Linked DNA regions of Zea mays. The protein of the gene in region 2 interacts with the protein of the main gene of each other region in a pairwise test. Links are inferred from orthologs where the notes say so. Each region holds a gene or a part of one and is shown on either strand. Other genes may lie near its edges.

Region 1 (11,147 bases), about 23 Mb from region 2:
TTATCTGCTTATTAACAAAAAGGTACTAGTGGTTTCTCCGCGGAAGTTCTGCAGGGACAAGAAGCATGTCTGATGCGGCAATGAAGGGTTGATTTGGTGACAAGAGGATCACAGGAGGATTGGAGAGGATTGAGCGAGAAATAAACTAATTTCCCCCTCAATCACCTCCAATCCTCCCATGATCCTGGGTCACCAAATCAGCCTAACCAAATAGCCAGGAAAATACTCATGGTGTGTGTTTTAGCACCCTGACAATTTATCTGTTTATCAACAAAACGGTACTGTTGATTTATTAGTTATTACCCATGCAAGTTCTACTTCGACAACAAGCATTACTGCTGCTGCAATGAAAGATAGAAGTATAATTGAATCGCCAGAGGAAATACCAGTAGTGTGTGCTTCAGCACAGTTCCCGTGCAGATATTACTACTATGTTCACGAGATATCATCAGGCGGACATGTGGAACAGATTTCCAGCTCTCACCAAGAGCAGGCTTGACAGCACCATTGCCAGCTGAAACCATATGATTGGTCACCTGGATTCAATGCAAAAGAGTAACTCAATGAATGAACTTAAGAAAAAAAAACTTTTGTTTACAGAATTGGCAGTGTTCACCAAAATACGTTTGCTGTCTGATTCAAATCGATTCGTAAAACCAATTGTTTAAGCGAAATAGTTTATGAATGAATACAGGAAGCCAAGCGGTAACATAAACTTCCATTTCAAATGCTAAACCAGAGGTGGTATTCGGTATTCATTGAGTCACCAATCATCCAGTGATGGTATATCCTAAATTGATATATATGGAAGGTAATCGTTCTTGGCATATGATGTTCACCATTTTTTAGGTCATTGGTTTTCTTTTACACCATGGTTTTCAGGTCATTGGTACATTTTATTACAAGAAAATCGTGAAGACTGAAGAACAAAATCTATGTATTGGTCCATCCTTGGAACCTTCCTCACTCAAATACTTGGAGCTAACTGGTAGCTAGTTCAGACTTCAGATCAGGGAAAATGGAGTAGGGAAACAAGAAACTGCAACATATTTTTTTGTGGCCTGATTCCCACGAAGTACATTAGCAATGGACACCCATGACAAAACCATCAAATATGGAATTTGGCAAAATCTTGTTGCTGCTCCTCCAAAGCAGCCTATATCGCTTTCTTTGTGGCCACAATATAGGTTTGCTCCATGGGAGTGTACTTAGAAACCTTGGGTTTCTTTGCACCGCAAATTCTTGGCCATTCACAATCACAGTTGGACAACAGATAGGTTTGCCAAATGTAAACTACCGCACCCCAACTGCTGTGCATTATGCGATCAAAGGGATGAGACTATGCAGCACTTGCTGATTTTATGTGTCTTCTCTAGGCAAGCATGGATTGTCGTTCTCCACTGGCTGGGGTCTGCAACAGGAGCTGAACTCTACACCTTTCTGCTCATGGTGGAGCCAAGATCTTAAACAAGTTGACAAGTAATTAAGGGGCTCAATTATTTGTTTATTCTAGTTGCTTCACAAATTTGGAAACATCATAATGACTGTTTTTAATGGGACGAATGTGTGGCTGGTAACTAGAACCATTTTAGAGAAAGGAGCCTTGTGGTGTTATGCAGGTGCAGATTACAGAAATTAACTACAGACAGCTGTTTTGTGGTTGTCACTTTTATGTTTAAACAGCCCGTATGTAATCTCATTTGTTCGTGTGATTTTCTCTGAACTTTGATGTTTTATTCTTTAATGGAAAAGTAAGCAGCTTTCTGCATGCTTGGCCATGTTGAACTGTTTAAGGAGTGGAAGGTAGTATACAAATTCAAGACCAAGCACCTGAAAGCGCAATTTATTTGCATGTACTTTTCTTCAGATCAAACATCATGCAAATTCAAGACCAAACACCATATAAATTCAGCCTATTGAATAAGGTCAAACAATATTCAGCGTGCAATTTCAGGTGTTATATTATTCAGCATCATTTTCAAGATAATCACCACGATATCAGTTCCTATTTTCTCCATGCATGCAAACAAGAGTATTACTGAGTCAAGATTGCATAGTTGCATGACAAATTTGACAAATAAACTGAATACATATATTGTATACCCATGACAAATCAAAATGATAGATTTTTTTTAAAAAAGGTATATTCATATTAACAAGCAGTTTCAACTTTCAACCCAAAGAGTTGAATTTGAATCTAAGTGGTGCTACACCAAGTGAACTAGTCTCAATTGCTCCAAACATGCTCATTTCAGAGCATGCAATTAGCATTCCATGAATGCTTACCAAAAACTGGGGTTCAAAAAAATTACCAGAACAGCTAGATTATGCTCATAGGCTAACTTCTTTAGGATCATCGCCAGTGATATCATCATCGATCGCCCTGTCAGTTTATTAATACAGGTTCAGAGAAAAGAGCCAAAAGCTGTGAATTAAGGATGCCTTCCTCTTAGGAAGCAATAACAGGGAATTCAATTTATGACCAGCTAAAATTATAAATTAGCAGTTGCACCGTAGATATTATTATTAAGTTTATACTAAATTCATAAGCTATCTTGCATAAGCACCGATCCGATTCAGTTCCAAACTCACAGAATCATATCTAATTTATCTCAACCTCTCAATATCACTACATAAAGTCTGATTTACTGTATGCATGCAGTGCTAATGTACAACTTATGTCATGCCAAAAGGGGAGGATTGTAGATAAGGCTATGAAGGCGGTACCTTGTGGATACTTGCCTCCAATAATGGGAGCAAGTAAGGATGATATTGAGTCAATTATAAGTAAGCAAATTCTCCTGCCATCACCTATTACCTGTTACACGTGCCAGGTGAGAGAAGTATTTGACAAGAAATCTGAAACCATATGCAATACTTCACTCATACCTTTTCATTCAGTAGAGAAACTTCAAGTTGATGTAGTACTTCAAACATACCAAATATATCAAACACAGACTCGCAGATGATGCTTTGCATCACAGTCTTGAGCCTCTCCTTAGACAGCAAGTCAAAACCTGATTACTGTAGATCTTAAGCTATATATAAAACATATGGTAAAACTTTTGCCAAGAAACTGCTGGAGAATTGAAATAAATTATGAGAACTCAAAGAATGACAAAAGGCAAGAGTAGGCTAGACATATGGTTGATTGTCTACCTTTTTGATCAGATAGGTCGTTAGTTCCATCAATTATGGTGGCAATACGACTAGGAGAGAAAGAATTACTAGTATCCAAGTACATAACCACACCCGTATGCTTCACTGGAGCATGTGAAGCAGAATGTAGACAAACCTGAAAAATGGTATATATGTAAGAGCATGACTATGATTTAGCCCATAATAGTTCCAACAAAATCATTCCAAGCAGTAACCATGGGCAACGACTGCTATGCAAACAGTGCTTCTGTGCAAACGTGCAAGCAAACCATCTGATCCATTAGATTACGATCCAACCACAGATACAACCACTGGTTTGTTAGGGGTTTTTTTATAAAGATTATTGAGCTGGTGGTGGAAGGGTTTAAGTGTTAAATGTGACTTACGGTTGGATCACGATCTAATGGATCAGATGGTTTGCTTGCACGCTTGCACAGAAGCACTGCTTGCATAGCAGTCGTTGCCGTAACCATGAGCATTTTAAGTGTGTATAAAAAGATAACTCATCTTCTCACCTGTGTTTTACCAGAAGATGATGGTCCAGTAACCTCTGTGAGCTGACCTTGGCGCAGCCCGCCCCCAAGAAGTCTGTCAATGCTGTCAATTGAAAGACCACATGCTTCAAAAAAATGAAAGGTCACAAATGATACTAGGATCATATTAATCACAAAAAGTAATATAAACGAGGGTGTTAACATAGCAAATATGAGATGAAGACTGAACAGAGAAGGCATGAGTATGTATATGTTCAAGGTAGAAGTACCCTTCAAGTCCAGTAGGTAGGACATGCTTGTTTTCAGTGACGTCCTTGAGCAAGTCGATCCCACTCCAAATTCGCCCACACCGATCTTCCTTAGAAGGCTGATCTTGATTCATCGTCTCCTCCTGTGTGTATTATATCATGGATGGAAAACAGTCCGTGATTCAGTAGTACAAAATTTCTTCGCTACCCCAATGTGTCGTCAACTCAGCTCTATTGGTTGACAATTGCCGCATTATGTTGTTACTTGCAACCCCTCAATTCAATTTGCGACGGATTTCCAGTTAGTGGACCAGTTACTTGTGGGTTTTTGATATTGCGGAGAAGGTCATTTGTACTTCTAAGGGCTGGTTTGGTGACAAGGGAATTGGAGAGGATTGAGGGGGAGAAAATCCCTTGATATTCAATTTTTACTTCTAAATGTTATGATGGACTCCTCTCCCCACTAGCAAGTCGAACGCAACGTCATGCGCAGTGTGTAGCATCAGTCAGACTAACATTTCTAGTACAACAAACATTCATGCGTGATGCGTTGATAGCAGGCGAGCAAATACTAGAAGCAGCAGTGTCACAAGAAGAAAAGGAAGAATGCGAACCTCCTGGTCGTGTGGTGCGTAGCGGCGCTTGAGACCACAGCCGGATGTGGTGGCTTCCCTTCCGCCACCGGCCGCCGCCATGACGGCGCCGAGTAACTGTCTTCCACGGACACTACCGTTGGAGACCTCCACCAGCACGCGGTGCCCCTGGAAGGTAACCACTAGGGCAAGATAGGACGCCTGCCCCTACGGAACCCCGGGACCGAGCGGGAACGGCGGCGGCCGCGTCGGGCGAAGGAAAACGAAGAAGCCGAGACTGAGTACTGGGCCGGCCCACTTTGATTATTTGTAGCGAAGGTAAGCACAAGGAATTCCTAAGCACAATGACAGGCCCAATAGCCCAATGCGCTGAATAGCGCAGCATCCTTTCCCTTCTCCCCCACCCTCGGCCTCGCTTCCAGCCATCCGCCGCGGCTCGTCTCCGTCTCCCGGCTCCTCGGCGTCTAGCTCGTCAACGCGCGCGTCCGCCGTCGGCTCCTCCGACCGGCGTCCCACCACAGGGGAATACAGATCGACGATCCGCTGGGTGCGTCTCATTTCCCGGCTCGCAGATCTGACCAACTGTTGTGTGTTCCGTTCGTTGGTGTACGAGAGTAGCTGGGGTCTCCGCGGGCAGTTCTTGCGCATAGGTCTTCCCCGTTACGGAGTATTGTGTAGTCACTTTGCTTCAAGAACCATTGGGGATCGAGTATAATTTGATGATTTTAGGGCAGTTCACGGTGCCTGTTATGTTTGTTCTATTGTGTTTTCACTATGGTTATTTATTTGTACCTTTTTCTAGCGTACTGGGTGTTTGTATGCATGATTGATCCGCTCATTTAGGGGGTGTTTGGTTTAAGGAATCACTACATCCAAATTGAGGTGGTGCATCATGGGTTTATTCCTCAAATTTGGTGGGATGACCCTATTCTTCATATTAGTACTAACTAATTAACTATGAGGAATGAGGTGGTGATGGATCAACTCATTCCATTCCACAAACCAAACAAAAATAGTGAGGAGTGAGAAGATGATGGACTAGCTCATTTCTTAAACCAAACACCTACCTAGCCCTTTTACATAATCCATGTCCAATGCAACCATTGGCTTTCATTGCCCTCAGCAATTTTTAGGGTATTAGTTACTAAGGTGTGGTTTGGTTCACGAAATGTAACATAAATGGTAATTGTAATGATTCACGTTCGATTACCGGCTGTAACAAGTTTGAATAAGACGGTATTAGTTTCTAGTGTTATTACGGACTTAAACAAACATGGTTTTTTAATGTTATCTATTACCGTTCACGTTACAAATAAATAGGTGAATCAAACAGCACCTAAGATATAGTACGCTTATCACTATAGTGCTACTACTTTCCAGCTCCTGGAGTAGCGAATATTGTTTCAGGGAAGCAGAGATATTTCCTATTGTTGCTGGTTCCGTCTTATCTGTGTACTGATGACTTTTAGGCATCCCGTGCGGTGCAGGCTTGCAAACATGTATATCCGAGTGAAGCGCAACAAGAGTACCTACTTCATTCAATGTGAACCAACAGAGACAGCTTTGAGCATCAAACAGAAGTTGCACTCGCTGATAGATCAACCTCCTAGTAGTCAGCAGTTGGTCTTGTGGCCTAGCAGTGATGTGCTTGAAGACTCAAAGACTTTGGCAGATCAAAAGGTACCCCTACATCTAGCTGCTTCTGCTTCTTTACATATTATTCCTAAGATGATTCTGTTTAGGCCCCGTTTGTTTCGTTGGAATTGAATTCGATTCTAATAATCATAATTTAGACACGAACTAATTAAGTTAATATATTTGTATATGTAATATATTTGTATATTATCCTAAATCATATGAGATAGTTATACACTACACTTATGCTATAGAGAAGTAAGTAGAAGAGTGTGCTATAAGTTGTACATTGGAAAAGTAGCATGCAAATCTATAAAATCAATTTTCATCTTTCACTCCATGAATTTAAGACAGGCTTATGTATCAACTTTAGAAAGTTGTGGAATATCACATTCTAAAAAGTAGTCTATTCCATTAGTTAGATTCTAATTCCTCAAAATGAAGGGAAACAAACGGGGTCTTAGCCTAATGTGCAGTCTCATTATTCTCATAGAACATCTATAAGTGAAGTCTGCTTGCTAATGCAGATATTTATTTTTTCAGTCACATTAAGTTTAGTTTGTGTAGCCTTAGCATATCGGTTTTCTTTGAAGATTAAACCCACAGCTTGTTTATTGCATTTTACCAGTTGCGTGATATTTTCTTTTTTTATACTTGTTCAGGTGGATAACGATTCCATTGTTGCATTGGCACTAAGAAAAGGTATCGTGCTCACTTGCTGAATTGTTAATGGGTTTTTGCCTACTTTTTATTTTCCTTATCTTTCAGGTAGTGCCTTTTGCATTATTAATGTTTCTTTTCTTTTTTGCTTACTCTTAGTATACCACTCGATGGTTATGATTATTGCCCAGCAACTGTTTACATTTGTAGAAAATACCTTATATTATGTCTTAGGTCATCATTCACTAGTCAGCAGCTTGATCTGTCTTCTGGACTGCGGGTTTGACCTACCAAACCATATTATTGCTGATGCCATTCTTTCTCTAGCAGAAATTTACACATTTTCCCTCATTTCTATGTTAATAATAAGCTAAGAAGAATCTATGATTGCAAAGTGGTTTATCATAGCATAACAGCAGGTTGTCCCTATTCTAAATAAAGTGAATGCATGATGCTAGTCCTTTTCTAAAAACTCAACCTACTCAATGCAGCTTCTTGCTTTCCTTGTTCCGCCGTGGGTTACCCTTTCTATAGCTATTTCATTTTCGGTCTGATAGTTCCTGACTGTAATTTCTGTTCCTTCACCAGATGACGGTGAGTTTGAGGAAGTTTTCATCGCTAGGCCGGAGGATTTCATGTCATCATCATGATAAAGATTAGTCCATCATTTCTACAAAGGGACCACTGCGCGTTCTTGGAGTGGACCGTCGCTCTATGCTGGTTCTTCTAGAATCTGGGATGTGGCTTGCTTGTCCCTTTGGGAGGAAAAAGAAAATCTTTTATGTGAGATCCCAAACAACCGTTGTGGATGATATTAAGCTTTGATTTGACGCTCCAACTGATGCCGTGCTTCTTGTACCTACTGGTGTCTGTCTTGGTGTTGGGATCAGAGCGCACCTAATTGTCCTTTTTTGTACCAGCTGTTGTATGCGAATCCATCTGTGCCTTCATCACCTAATGCACTCGCTGTTGCTGCTGGCATTCCTGGTTGGCCCCATTGCTCGATTCAACTGCGCTGTCGGTCACATAATGGGCAACGCGTTTGGTTGGCGCCACAAGATTACGACGACAGTTTTGGGCTTGTGGTTTCTCTTTCTCAGGGCAAAATTTTAGTGAATGTTTGGACAGATTTCGTCTGCTCTTACATTAATGGTTCTTTTTTTTTTTTTTTGCCTTTGTAAGTCAGTTTCATAATTTGGCAGAATTGTTGCCTACTTTGGTCCACCCTTTCCGTTCTACAAGTTTTTTAATTTGCCGTTTGATTGCAAAAGTTCTTGCGAAAGTGACAGAGGCGACTTCTCAGGAGCTTCAGCTTTTGATTTGGTAGTAGCAACTTTTTGAACAACTCAACGCTGAGGGTTTGTTTTTTGCTTGCATATTAAGTTTTGAACGCAGACGACGCGTACGGAACGTCCTACTCAAACTGAAGTCAGCGTTGCTGTCCGTGTGTGTTCCCCATGAACAGTCAAATAAACATTGTGATCCACAATATTTTTCCATGATTTATCACTCTAATTCAATTTCATGGCCTCGACATCCAAACGAGCATAACAATTCAACTACATGCACACCCCTGCATACGCCACGCGCCCACGCCCATTCAACAAAAGAGGACCAAATTGTTAAGCTTCTCTTTAGGACACGGGATGTTTTTTTCACCGTTTTGAATATTTTTTTCTAAAAAAAATAAACTGGGTTCCTACAAATTTTTTACATGGCTTTTGTAAATTTTATTTTGTGTTCTTAAAGGGGTCTGGATGGTTTCGAACAAAGAAACAAAACGGTCAAATCGGAATTAACTAAGGCGCCCTTTTAACGAACAAAGAAGCGGAAGATAAATAAATAAGTCAAGTACGAGCGGAGTAACCACAGAAATTACCCGTCTATATAACTCCAGAACAACAAGAATTAAGCATAGGCAATTTGATCCGAGTACGCGTCCTGGTCGACGCCAAAGTCAAACGGAAGAAATTGGTAGCCTCTTCTGGTTTTTTATTTTTTTATTTTTTTTGCAAATGGTCCACGAAGACCAGGTTCAGCAAACGCACTCGTTCATCTCTCCATTCCATGCCATGCCATGGCCCCTCCTCGCTTTCGTTCGCTTTGCGCTTTTTGAGTTTAAAAGAAAAGAAGAAAGCGGCCTTGCCCACGTTTCAAACCATCTTGAAGAAGGAGATCGAGAGGCATTCCTACGGCACCGTCTTTTTTTCCCGATTCTCCTGTTCTTGTTTGTGACTTGTGAGTGAGAGCGGGATCCGACATCCGAGGAGAGGTCGAGGCCGGGCAAAGTCGAAGTCCGCGCTCCGGCCTCCAGCTGACGAAGCAGGTAACGACCATTCTTCCCCGCCTCCGCCGCGACGCGTGTTAGGTTGCTCACGTGATCTCGCTGTTGGGACTTGGGAGTTAGAGCTGTCTCTTCTTGCTTGAGGCTCCTCTCATCTGCGGGGACCTTCGTGATTCTTCGCACCCGAACCTTGGCTTTGCTCTTGCTCCTCTGGTTGCTGGGGTTTCTGGGGACCGGCTTGCTTCTAGAGCTGAATCTCACTCACCTCGAGTATAAAACCAGCCGCCTTCGGATCTTCTCTCCCTTCTTCTCGCGGGGGGTTCTTCGCCATTTCGGAGTTGCAAATTGCAATCCCACCAGGGATTTCTGTCGGCTGCTTAGGTTTCTCCGCGTCGCGAGCTTTGATGAGAGGTTATTCCCGCATTTAGTGGAGCTGGTTCTCATCTGCTCCTCGCCTCCCTCATTACTGTCTCTACTGAATCCTATTTCAGGGTCTCGTTTGCTTTTTTTCTTCTCTCGCAACCTTTTGGGACTATTTGTTGCTGGTATACTCTGTTCAGCATCATTACTTGAACCAGATTTGCAATTAGCGCTGCATTGGCAACTACGCTGGCCCATGGTGAGCTTCTTTTATCAGCAGCTGACGCAGTGACGCCTGACTGGCGGTAAAATCTGTATCTGGTTTACCAGGATGCACTGTGACGCGCTGGCCCATGGTGAGCTTCTGATGCCAATTAGGACTAAACATGCTTCCTCGCTGCGCTCAAGTGGGAGAACAAGAAATCAGCCTAGACACTAGTCATCTGCTGCAAGCAGAAAATGGTATAGCACAGTGCTCCTGGACTACATTTCACCTGTGCCCAATACTTGCTGGTAGCAGCAATGCCTGATCATTAGAAATTGTGTTTGCGCCTGCAGCACCCTTATTCACTTAAGAGTTCCAAGGGAGCACCAATTCTGCCACGGCCAGTCTTCGTTTTCTTCATCGCGACATTTGGTTTCTATGTATGCTATCTCTCCTTCAATCAGATAACGCTAGAGAACAACAGAGAGGGGAATAGTCGAGAAGAACAAAGGGACGATATTTGCAGAAAGCCTTATGTGCCGTATGAGGAGCTCAGTTATGTGCACTTTCCAAAACCTACAAGTTATAGCAGGTAAGATCCACCACTTGACTGTGAGGAGATATAAAATCTTTGCATTCCTCAATTATGTAGTACAGTATATTTTGTGGCTGATGTTGATATTTTTTGTCTTTCTGCTGCAGGGGGGAGTGCTCGTGTACTCCTGTTCGGTTCTTTGTAATCGTGTCTATGCAAAGATCGGGAAGTGGATGGTTTGAGACCTTGATGAATAGTCACCCTAACATTAGTTCCAATGGCGAAATCTTTAACAGAATGGATAGAAGAGAAAATATATCGTCTATCTTACAAACGCTTGATACGCTGTATAATTTGGACTGGCTCACCAGCGCCGCTAAGAATGAGTGCACAGCTGCATTTGGACTGAAGTGGATGCTTAATCAGGTACTTTAACTATTGCTTTCTAAATGGAAAAAAGAAACAGCATAACATGAGGAGTCTGTGCCAGTGGTTACTAGCCTATAAACTACAGTTCTAGTGGGTGGAACCTGGGCAAACCTATATATGATTTATTTTCCTTACCAAAAGTTTGGTTTTTTTAAAGAATTGTAGCTATAATCCAACTCTGTCATACTGCATATATGGATGTTTTTCTCAAAGCTATGACCTATGTGCCAACTACTAACATGCCTACGGTTGCAGTTCTTAAAACTCTGTACTAAGCAAAATTCACCATCCAAGCTCGTTAACACTTAACAATGATGACCTTGTTATGCTCATTTTTATCAGAATGATTGGAGTTATGTTTATGCCTACCATATGTTAAATATGTGCCTGGCCATAACTTCCAGCATTGTGTTTTTTTCCAGGGAATTTTGGAAAACCCTGAAGATATAGTTAGTTATTTGAACAAGAAGGGTGTCTCCGTGATATTTCTGTTCAGGAGGAACACATTGCGCAGGCTTGTATCTGTGCTGGCCAACGACTATGAC
Region 2 (10,400 bases):
TTCTGTCTTTCCCAAAATGAACATTGGTTAGTCCTAAAATGTGTTCTCCTTTAGAAGTTTGTGAAGACTCTTCATCCCAACATGAGCAAGTCGGCGATGCCAGAGCCAGCCCATATTAGTCTTAGCAATTAGGCAAGTGTCTAGTTCAACATTGTTATCAGTGAAATCAACTAAGTACAGCTGACCATCTAACACTCCTTTAAAAACTAGTGAATCATCATTTCTTCTAAAGACGGTAACATCAACATCAGTAAAAAAATAGTTGTAACCCATTTTGCATAATTGAGACACAGAGAGCAAGTTGTAACCTACAGATTCTACAAGAAATACATTAGAGATGCAATGGTCAGGAGATATAGCAATTTTACCCAATCCTTTGACCAAACCTTGATTTTTATCCATGAATGTGATTGCTCTTTGGGGATCATCACTTTTCTCATATGAGGAGAACATTCTTTTCTCCCCTGTCATGTGGTTTGTGCACCCGCTATCGATTATCCAACTTGTTCCACCGGATGCATAAACCTACAACACAAATTTAGGCATTGTCCTTAGGTACCCAAACAGTCTTGGGTCCTTTCACATTAGAAACAAGCTCCTTGGATACCCAAACACAAGTCTTTGGACTCTTGTGTTTGCCCTCAATATATTTGGCAACTACTTTGCTGGATTTGTTAGTAAGAACAAAGGATGCATCAAAGGTCTTAAATGAAATGCTATGTTCATTTGATGCATCAACAATCTTTTCTTAGGCATCTTAATATGAGTTGTATGCCTAGAACTAGAAGTCTCATTACTGTAAATATAAGCATGATGAGCAAAATGATGGGATTTCTTAGCATGAATTCTTTTAATCTTATGCTCAGGATAGTTTTCAGGATATAAAATGTAACCTTATCTATCTTTTACCATGGGATCCTTGCCCTTAACAAAATTGGAAATCTTGTTTCTATGGGCATTAAGTTTGATGTTGTTTTGGCTCCCGGATTGGAAGCCAACCCCATGTAATACCCAAATTTTGGGGTTTAAAAATTTATAAAGTCTTGGAAATATTAAAGACCATGGGATTACTTGGTTCCTTTTTCTCTTTTTTGCATATCCAAATAATGAGATCAAGCTAGGCCATGAATAATTATTCCATGCTGAATTCTTTACTGTTGCACTTGACTTTGTGAAATTGGGAATTGAAATGAAGCCATAGAAATAAAACAAAGAAATAAAGGCAAGAAAAAGAAAAGGAAAAGAAAATACAAATTGGACCAAATCCTTGAAATTGACCCATCTCTTTCTTCCCTCTTGCACGCGCCAGCGACCCATTTGGCCCATTACTCGTGCGCACCTTGACTCCGCAAGCCAGCGGCTGCCGGTGGGTCCGCAGTGTCAGCCGACCGCCCGCGTGCACTTCGGCCTCACATCGCTGACGCCTGGGCCCCCGTGCCAGTGGGGCTTGTTCGCGCGCACGATTACCTTTTCGCTGACAGGTGGGCCGTGCGCGCAGGCTCGTCTCCTTCACGTGCGCTGACGCCGGGGTTGTTGCAACAACTCCCCGCAATGTATGCCGGTCTCGAGGGGAGAATTTGTGCTAGCCGTGCAACCCCTATAAGAACAGGGGTGTTCGGGTGCCCGCTTGACTCGTCCGGCTCGATTTAGCCTCTGTCCACCGAGAGAACCAAGAGAGAAGAGGGTTCGGGGCCATCGCTGTAAATCGTCGCCGACGTTGAGTCTCGATCTCCTGTCGTGCTTCTCGGTTGCTGGCCATGCCGTCTGAGTGTCGCGACGGGATATTAATCAACGGGTGGTGCGACCGAGCACTTAGATCCCCTCGCCGGTGACCATCATCACCATCGCGGCGCCGTGGGTTGGGAAATCCCTCGAATCGGGTGTCAAAATCGTTTGTAAGTGTCACCACTGTCTCCTCACGTTCTCCCGCAAGTATTGGTACCTTAATCTGTGGTTTCCGGGCTTCGGGTAAGTTGGGGCACCGCTTGCTGTTGTGGGCATGGCGGGGTTGCCGCCCCGCGCTGTGGGACAACATCAACAAAGGGTTATTCTCGACGATTAGCACCTCCATGAGTCTCGACGATTAGCACCTCCATGATCTGAGGGGTCGGCAAACCACAGGCGGCAATGGCGCCGCCGCGTGTTTGGTGTTCGCGGTCGTCGCCGGCGTCATCGCAGCTAGGGGCGTCGTAGACCATTGATCACGAGTTGGGCGGCTCATATCTGATTGAGAGCACCGTTTCGGACAGGGTAGCGTGGGCGGTCCGATTTGATCGGAGGACTAGTGTTGCACGTCATCGTTAAACCTCGACCGCAGATCTCAGATCATGCGCACCAGCCACAGTGCTTGGACTCTTTGACATGCATGGATGCTCAACATGCAAGTATTTTATAAAAGGAGGGATTACACACATTTATACCACTCGGTAGTCGGTACATTCAACATACAAGTTTGTTTGCCTAAACTATTGATCTAGTCTGGCACTCTGGATCAAGTAGCTAGTTATCCTCCATTTGCAAAATGCACTACTTGCAATAAGGGTGTGCTTGTTTTTCTACTAGATTATATACGTTGGATTATGGTAAAAGGGTAGGAGAGTAAAATATCACTTTGAGATTATAAATAAATTGAAATAAGCTAGCATTGGGTAGCTTATTTCAGCTTATTTGTGACCCAAAGTAATATTTTAACCTCCTACTCTTCCACCATAATTCAACTTATATAATCTACGAGAGAAACAAATATGACCTAAGGTCCTGTTTGGTTTGAGGGATTAAAGATTAGTATCTCCATTTTAGTCCCATTTCGTCCCTAAGTTGACAAACGGTGGGACCAGGAACTAAACTGTTTTAGTCTATAGTCCCTCAAGGGATGACTAAAAAGGACTAAACCATATTGATTCCACCTTTTGCCCCTCCTTTATTTTAGTTGCACTAATGACAAGAGAATGCTAAGTGATATTTCGGTCCCCTTATGATTCCTTTAATGCGTTCTGAATACTTTTAGTCTCTATAACCAAACATGGTAGGGACTAAACTTTAGTTTCCTAACTAAATTTTAGTCCCTGGAATAAAGTAACCAAACGTGCCCTAAGTCTACTTGCTATGCAAAACTTTATGTAGATACATACATATGTGTGTATCCCATCCATATATATTATATACTTTTTGCGCCACATTCTTCTATTGTCCAAATAAAGAGTAGGTGCATGCATGGATAAGCTTTACAAAAATCAGTATAGCGCCCCACATATACATTATGCTCTTACATTAAATATATATATCTTAATATACAAGGCTGATGAACGAACACATTCCTCTACTAGCAGTATAGCTATACAGATATGATTACTGAATTCAACAGTATTTTATGTGCCATTCGTTATTGCTTTTGGTACATCATCTTTTGTAATGCATGGGCCATGGACTAATTGGATGTAAGCAAACCTTTCAAAATTTGACTGGCATTTTTCATTTAGTTCTTAGTTCACATTCTAGTATGGAACCACTCATATTTCACTGCATTTGCATTATAGTTGCATCTTGTCCACTAATTTGCTGCAGGATCATCGTAGATGGAAGGTCAATTGTTTTTTTATATCATGAAAGGTTGCAATGATGTGCATGCAATGTTTGTTAGTGAATTCATGCTTGAAGTACTTCTCATTTTTCCTTTTAAATTGAAGTAATTTGTTTCTTTGTGCAATGCATGCATATATATGCTTTGCAAAATCACTAAAATAACATAGGGTTATACTTGGATGAGACGAAAGGTGTTGTTGCAAGCAGTATATGTAAAGTACATTTTTTGTTGGAGAAACTTGTGTGCCTCTGCATAAATTGACAAATTTCAACAACTTTCCTTGCACTAAAAGGTTGAAACGTATATGTGTGTTGTTGCTGCCAACTGGTAACTGACTTGTTCCTCTTGCATGAGTTGACTGCAGTGCAAGAAAAGACTGCAGAAAGATAAAGATTGGTGTGTGTGTTGTGCTCAGAGCTCAGAAGTGTGATTTCTGCTGCCGTTCGTTACCAGTTTGCTTGCAAAGGTAAAACTTCAGAAGAGCTAGACGACCACACGGTGAAGAAATCAACAAATAATGACTAATGAGCGTATGCAATCAATAAAATTTGAGATAACTTTATTGAAATCTGAATTAGATCGAGTTCGTCACTAAGCTCAGCATGGATTTCTTGCTTTAAAAGGACGATCTGAATCAAGAACCCAGTAAATCGAACATCAAAATTAAGAGGAAAAATAAAGACATGGATGAAGCATGGAAGACAACAAACTAATTAGGGGTAAGGACGATAGTGAGCTTAGCAGTCCCATTGCAGCTGCTCCATGGTGTTGCCGGTGCTGCCGCAAAACAACGCGCATGACTCCATCAGCTCCAGATCGAACGCCATTGCACCGGCGCCGCCATACACTGAAGAGACGTCCATCATGTCCATGCCCTTGTCAGCAACTGCACCGCCACCGTTCATCACAGTTTGTCGGCCGACGAGCACCTCCCCCTGCACCAGCCCTTGTGGTGGCAGCGGCTGCTGCGGCGGCGGCGGCGGTGGCTGAGCCACTTCCATCCCTGCACACATGCCAGAATCCACGGCTGCGGTGCTCCACATTCCCGCCGTCACGTCCATGAAGGCCGCGCCCATGCCTTGTTGGCTAAAGCCGTTGCCGTTAGGCATGCCGGCGGCGTGATCCATGGAGGAGGAGGACGAGGAGCCGTTCACGAAGTCCACAGATGTCTGGAGACCAGCATTCTGGTCCCTGAAGCTCATCAGCACGCCGCCGCCGTTTCCGGGGTGGTACGGGTATCCCGGAATCGCAGCCGCCGTGGCTGCCTGATCATGCCTCATGAGCATGCCGTCAGGGTAATTATTAGGGACGTCGTACGTTGCCGGCGCCATCGTCTCCGGCGGCGGCGTGGCCGTGACGGTGCCGTAGGCGGCGGCCTTGGTCGGGGAGCTGATGGTGAAGGGCGTCGTGGCGACGGAGACGACAGCAGCGCAGCCGTTTGAGTTGAAGTGGGCAGGATTGTTGCTGCTAGGGTTTGCCCCGTTGCCGTGGAGGAGAGTCCTGGAGGCCGGCAGGAGGTTGTGGGTCTTGGGGTCGAGGCCCTGCGCGATGAGCTTCTTCTTGATGCACGAGTTCCAGAAGTTCTTGACCTCGTTATCCGTGCGCCCGGGCAGGTGCTTGGCGATCTGCGCCCATCTGTGAGTTGGATCGGAGTTGGCATGCGCGCCGCGCACAGACCAGACGAGGCATGGCACCATGGCCCCGGTGAGTCACTAGTTAGCAGGGAGCAAGATAGACGGCAAGAAGTATGCCCGTACGTACCGGTTCCCGAGGATGCGGTGGACGTCGATGATGGTGCGCTCCTCGTGGTCGGAGAAGGTTCCGCGCTTCAGGTCCGGCCGGAGGTAGTTGATCCACCGGAGGCGGCAGCTCTTGCCGCAGCGCTGCAGCCCTGTGGCCGATTTGGCAACAGCACAGCACGCCACTGTCAGGACGTGAACAAATCCAATTTCTTCTTTGAATTACTGGCTAGGATGGGTGGCCGGAGCATACCGGCATGCTTGGGAACGGCGCTCCAGCAGCTGTGGCCGTGGGCGGTGATGTACTTGACAAGCTTCTCGTCCTCCTCCGGCGACCACAGCCCACGCTTCACCTTCTGCTTGCTGCAGCAGTGGTGCCCCATGGCTGCCCGACCGCTGCTCCCCTTGCTCTCACCCTCTCCAGCAGTTTCCTCTCCTCACCCTACCTCCTCTCCCCCAACGGTGTATGTAAAGCCTGAAGCACACGCACAAAGGCACACCCCTTTTGCTGGTGAATTGACCTTTATGCATCTCTGTGTGCGGGAGAAGGAAATACACCAAATAAAGTTGTCCGATCTCTCACAATGGTAGATTTATTGCAATTAGGCCACTAAGCAAGCAGCACACTCTTCTACTGGTTCCCTTTTAACCGATACGTCAAAACAAATTACAAAACTAGATTGGACATAAGCCATGCATATACATATAGAAATATGGCTTTGTAAACACACACATATATGGTCAAATATAATGGAGTATACTAGTCAACCAAAAACTTAGACGTGGCTAGGAATCCATGACCTCTTTATTAGAATCCGGTTCTTTGGAGTGCCAATGGTTTACCAAGTGTTTTTTCCAGACACCCGGCAAAGAGTTATTTTATCGAGTACCCCATAAAAAATGCTCGGTAAAAAAAACACTTAGCAAAGAGCTTATTTGCTGCTCTTTGCCGAGTGTTGTTTTACACTATGCAAATAGTTTCTTTACTGAGTGTTTTTTCCGATACGACTAGGCAAAAACAATTTTCGAACAACATTTTAAAGCAGTAAATCAATTCAAATAAAAAGGTTTTCAACTATAAAGTTGTATAACTCATTTAAGATGTACAATTTCTATTTGCATTGGTCGTTTCTTCATATGACAAAATAAAATTATATTTGTTCGCAAAATTTATCTCTCTTGTAGTTTCGTAAACTACAAGAGAGATGTATAAGATTTGTGAACAATGTTAGAACCACCATGTTGGATGAATAGATGACAAAATAACTAAAATAAACTTTGTAGATCTTGAGAAGTTTTGGAATTTTATAGTTGGCAACTTTTTAATTTGGAGTCATCTTGTCAACGAAAAACTACGTATGAATTCAAAAAAATTAAAATTCGAATTTTTCAAATGACCTCGAATGGAAAAAAACACCGAAATGAAAGTTGCATGTCTCGAGAAGTTATAAAATTTTGTAGTTGACAACTTTTTCGATTTTAAATCTGAAAGTCGCCTAGAGGGTGGGTGAATAGGCGAAACCTGAAATTTATAACTTTAAACACACACTACAAGCCGGGGTTAGCGTTAGGATTAAATTCAAGTCCGGAAGAGAGGGGAAAACAAATCAATCAAGAATCAAACGAGTGAACACGGTGATTTGTTTTACTGAGGTTCGGTTTCAAAGAACCTAGTCCCCGTTGAGGAGGACACAAAGACCGGGTCTATTTCAACCCTTTCCCTCTCTCAAACGGTCACTTAGACCGAGTGAGCCTTCTTCCTTAATCTCACGGGTCACTAAGACCCTGCAAGGACCACCACACACTTGGTGTCTCTTACTTCGCTTACAAAGAATTTGAGAATAAGAATGGGAAAAGAAGAAAGGCAATCCAAGAAACAAGAGCGCAAAAGAACACGAACACACACTCTCTCAAGTCACTAAATGGTTGAGATGAATTCTAGACTTGGAGAGGGTTTGATCTTTTGGAAATGTGTCTTGTAGTGAATGCATTAGCTCTTGTATTGAATGTGATCTCTGAAAAACTTGGATGCCAAAAGATGTGGTGGTTGGGCGATGGGCGCACCGGACAGTCCGGTGCGCCACCTTGTAGCCGTTGGCCAAGGCTGCTAGCGATGGGCGCACCGGATAGTCTGGTGCGCCACCGGACAGGTACTGTGCGCTGTCCGGTGCGCCGCCACGCCAACCAACTGTTAGGGTTTAGAGCTGGTCGACCGTTGGAGACTTTGTCTTCTTGCGGCACCGGACAGTCCGGTGCCACAACGGACAGTCCGGTGCCCTTTGACTTTGCTGCTTTGACTCTGTCGCGCACTGTTCATCGTGGCAGGCGCTTTTGCAGTCGACCGTTGGCGCTGGATAGCCATTGCTCCGCTGGCTCATCGGATAGTCCGGTGAATTATAGCGGAGCGCGTCCTGGAATTCCCGAGAGTGACTGGTTTGGAGTTGTACGGGCGTGGCACACCGGACACTGTCCGGTGGCACACTAGACAGTCCGGTGCGCCAATCTTCAGCACACTCAAGTCCTTTTGCTCCAATAAAATTGTGTCCCTAACTTGGTTCTTTCTTGGTTTGTGTTGAACCTTATGCACCTGTAATACATGAATTCTAGACAAACTAGTTAGTCCATGTGTTTGTGTTGATTATCAATCACCAAAATTAATTATAGGAAATGGTTAACCCAATTTCCCTTTCAATCTCCCCCTTTTTGGTGATTGATGCCAACACAAACCAAAGTAAATATAAAGTGCAGGAATATAACTAGTTTGCATTTAGAATCTGCATAGGTTGCTTGGAGTTAAACCAATTGAAAATCTCACAAAGTATGAATGGATTGTTTTTCTTTTATTTAACATTTTAGACCACATTTGCACCACTTGTTTTGTTTTTGCAAATAGTCAAAGGTATAGGAATGATATTGCAATAAGCATTTTTAAGATTTGAAATTTCTCCCCCTGTTTCAAATGCTTTTCCTTTGACTAGATAAAAACTCTCCCTGAATGAAATTCTCCTCTTAGCTTTCAAGAGGGTTTTGAGATAGATACCATAAAGCGCCTTTGAGAGTCTGTACACATGGTTAGGGTACTCACTATCTTCAAAGCCAGGAGGTTGCTCAACATATACCTCTTCCTTGATGGGTCCATTAAGGAAGGCACTTTCCACGTCCATTTGTTCAAGCTTAAAGCCATGATAAGTAGCATAGGCAAGTAATATGTGAATTGATTCAAGCCTAGCTATGGGTGCATAAGTTTCATCAAAGTCCAAACCTTCGACTTATAAATAACATTTGGCCACAAGTCGGGTTTTGTTCCTTTTCACCACAGCATGCTCATCTTGCTTGTTGCGGAATACTGAAAGTAGCCTAGAGGGGGGGTGAATAGGCTAATCTGAAAATTTTCACAACAAACTTCGAAAGATTGTTAGATTCACAGTTCGACTGGTGCAGGCCGGTTCAACAGCTACGTGCGCAAGTTGAACCACTCTGAACCAATCCAACTGTTTTATAAACTTTAGACTAAAATCTACTCGAAAAAGTATTTTGCAAGTTCTTGAGAGAAGTAAGATATAGCTAAGTGAGGATGAAAAGATGAATATGTAAAGGCTATTTTACTTCTAGATAAACTCTACGAAAAAATCTTTATGTCAATCTTGCAAGTAAAAATATCTCAAGTTAAAACAAGCAAGAACACAAGACACAAGATTTAATCCGAGGTTCGGCCACACCACAAAGGTGTCCTACTCCCCGTTGAGGAGCCCACAAAGGGCCGGGTCTTTTTCAACCCTAATCCTCCAAAAGCCGACCACAAAGGTCAAGGCAATCTCTTCTTATCTTAGCTCAAAGAGCGGGTGATACAAACTTCTTGGGGTCGTCCACAAATTTGGAGACTCCCAAGCAACCTCAAAAGATCTTGAAACCTAGGGTTTCAAGAACACCAAGAACGCACAAGAGGGGTTTGCACAAGCTCAAGTCTTTGTAAAAGAGATGGGAGAGGAAAACCAAATCGTGAGCACAAGCACAAACCTCACACCCAAGAGCTCCTCCAACAAGGTTGAATCTTGAGGGAGATTTAAGTGTGAGTGAGATGGAGAGATGAGTGCTTTGTCTCAAGTTAGGTGAGCAATAAATGAGTGAGTGTTCAGCCGTATTGAAGAAGAGAGAGAGAGGGGTCTATTTATAGTCACGGCTCAAAAACTAGTCGTTTGACCAAAAACCCCGCTGAAAACCGGTTGAACCGCCCCCTGACAAATCAGCAGTCTGTCTGCCAGTCTGACTGCCAGACTGACTGGCAGACTGACCTGCAGGCGGGTCAGACAGGCCAGGACCGGTTGAACCGCCCCCTAGGGCGGTTGAACCGCCCCCGAACACCCCTGGCGACCTGATTGCCAGTCTGACTGGCAGACTGCAGATCAGAAGTCAGAGGGTCAGAGACCAATTGAGCTACCCCCCAGGACCAGTTCAGCTGGTCTAGACCAGAGAGTTTTGGAGAGAAAACCACAGCTCAGCTGCCCAGGGGCAAGTTCAGCTAGGTATGGTCAAAGAGGTCCACAGCTGAAGTTGAAATTCAGCTGGAGTTGAAAGTTCAACTCAGCTAAAGTCCAGCTCAGCTGAAAAGCTCAGCTGCAGCTGAAGAAGCTCATCACAGCTGAAGTTAAGTTCAGCTGGAAAGCTCAGCTGCAGTTGAAGAAGTTCAGCTGCTTTTCAGCAAGAACACTCTAGGTTTCTCAACCCAAACCATGGTCAACCAAATAATGTTAAATTGATTTTTGGTTTTCAAAAAATAGCTTTTGAATTAGAGGACTTGAGCTATAGCAAACACCTATACCTGTGCGGAAAAGAACAAGGAAAAATTACATCATGCAACACAAGATTTTACATAAATTTTTATACGTCCGTTGCATGAAGTCCTTGGTGCTTCCTTAAGTTCTTGTTTCCTTCTAATCAAACACTTAGAACAAAAACTGTTAGTACCCTTATTTGTTTTGTCATTAAATCACCAAAACCCTCACTTGGGGTTGATTGCACTTACAAATACCCACTTGGTACCTACAACATTTTGATTAGGACGTGGAACTAAATGCCAT

The links.
Region 1: the proteins of transcription factor MYB21 (region 2) and uncharacterized protein LOC100285884 interact in a two-hybrid assay, tested with the Arabidopsis thaliana proteins (2 studies listed by BioGRID). The link is inferred for Zea mays from reciprocal best matches to the Arabidopsis thaliana genes MYB67 and AT5G57860.

What each region holds. Positions count from the first base shown.
Region 1 is NC_050102.1:179,107,140-179,118,286, forward strand, and holds uncharacterized protein LOC100285884, read left to right. Parts: upstream 1-4,860; 5' UTR 4,861-5,041; intron 5,042-5,981; 5' UTR 5,982-5,991; coding exon 5,992-6,174; intron 6,175-6,791; coding exon 6,792-6,831; intron 6,832-7,377; coding exon 7,378-7,439; 3' UTR 7,440-7,769; downstream 7,770-11,147. Other genes in the region: DNA repair protein RAD51 homolog 4, read right to left, coding at 387-536, 2,313-2,383, 2,728-2,818, 2,890-3,017, 3,160-3,295, 3,675-3,756, 3,923-4,044, 4,516-4,596; P-loop containing nucleoside triphosphate hydrolase superfamily protein, read left to right, coding at 9,893-9,895, 9,992-10,230, 10,341-10,599, 11,025-11,147.
Region 2 is NC_050102.1:156,547,676-156,558,075, reverse strand, and holds transcription factor MYB21, read right to left. Parts: upstream 5,831-10,400; 5' UTR 5,706-5,830; coding exon 5,576-5,705; intron 5,475-5,575; coding exon 5,345-5,474; intron 5,219-5,344; coding exon 4,321-5,218; 3' UTR 4,117-4,320; downstream 1-4,116.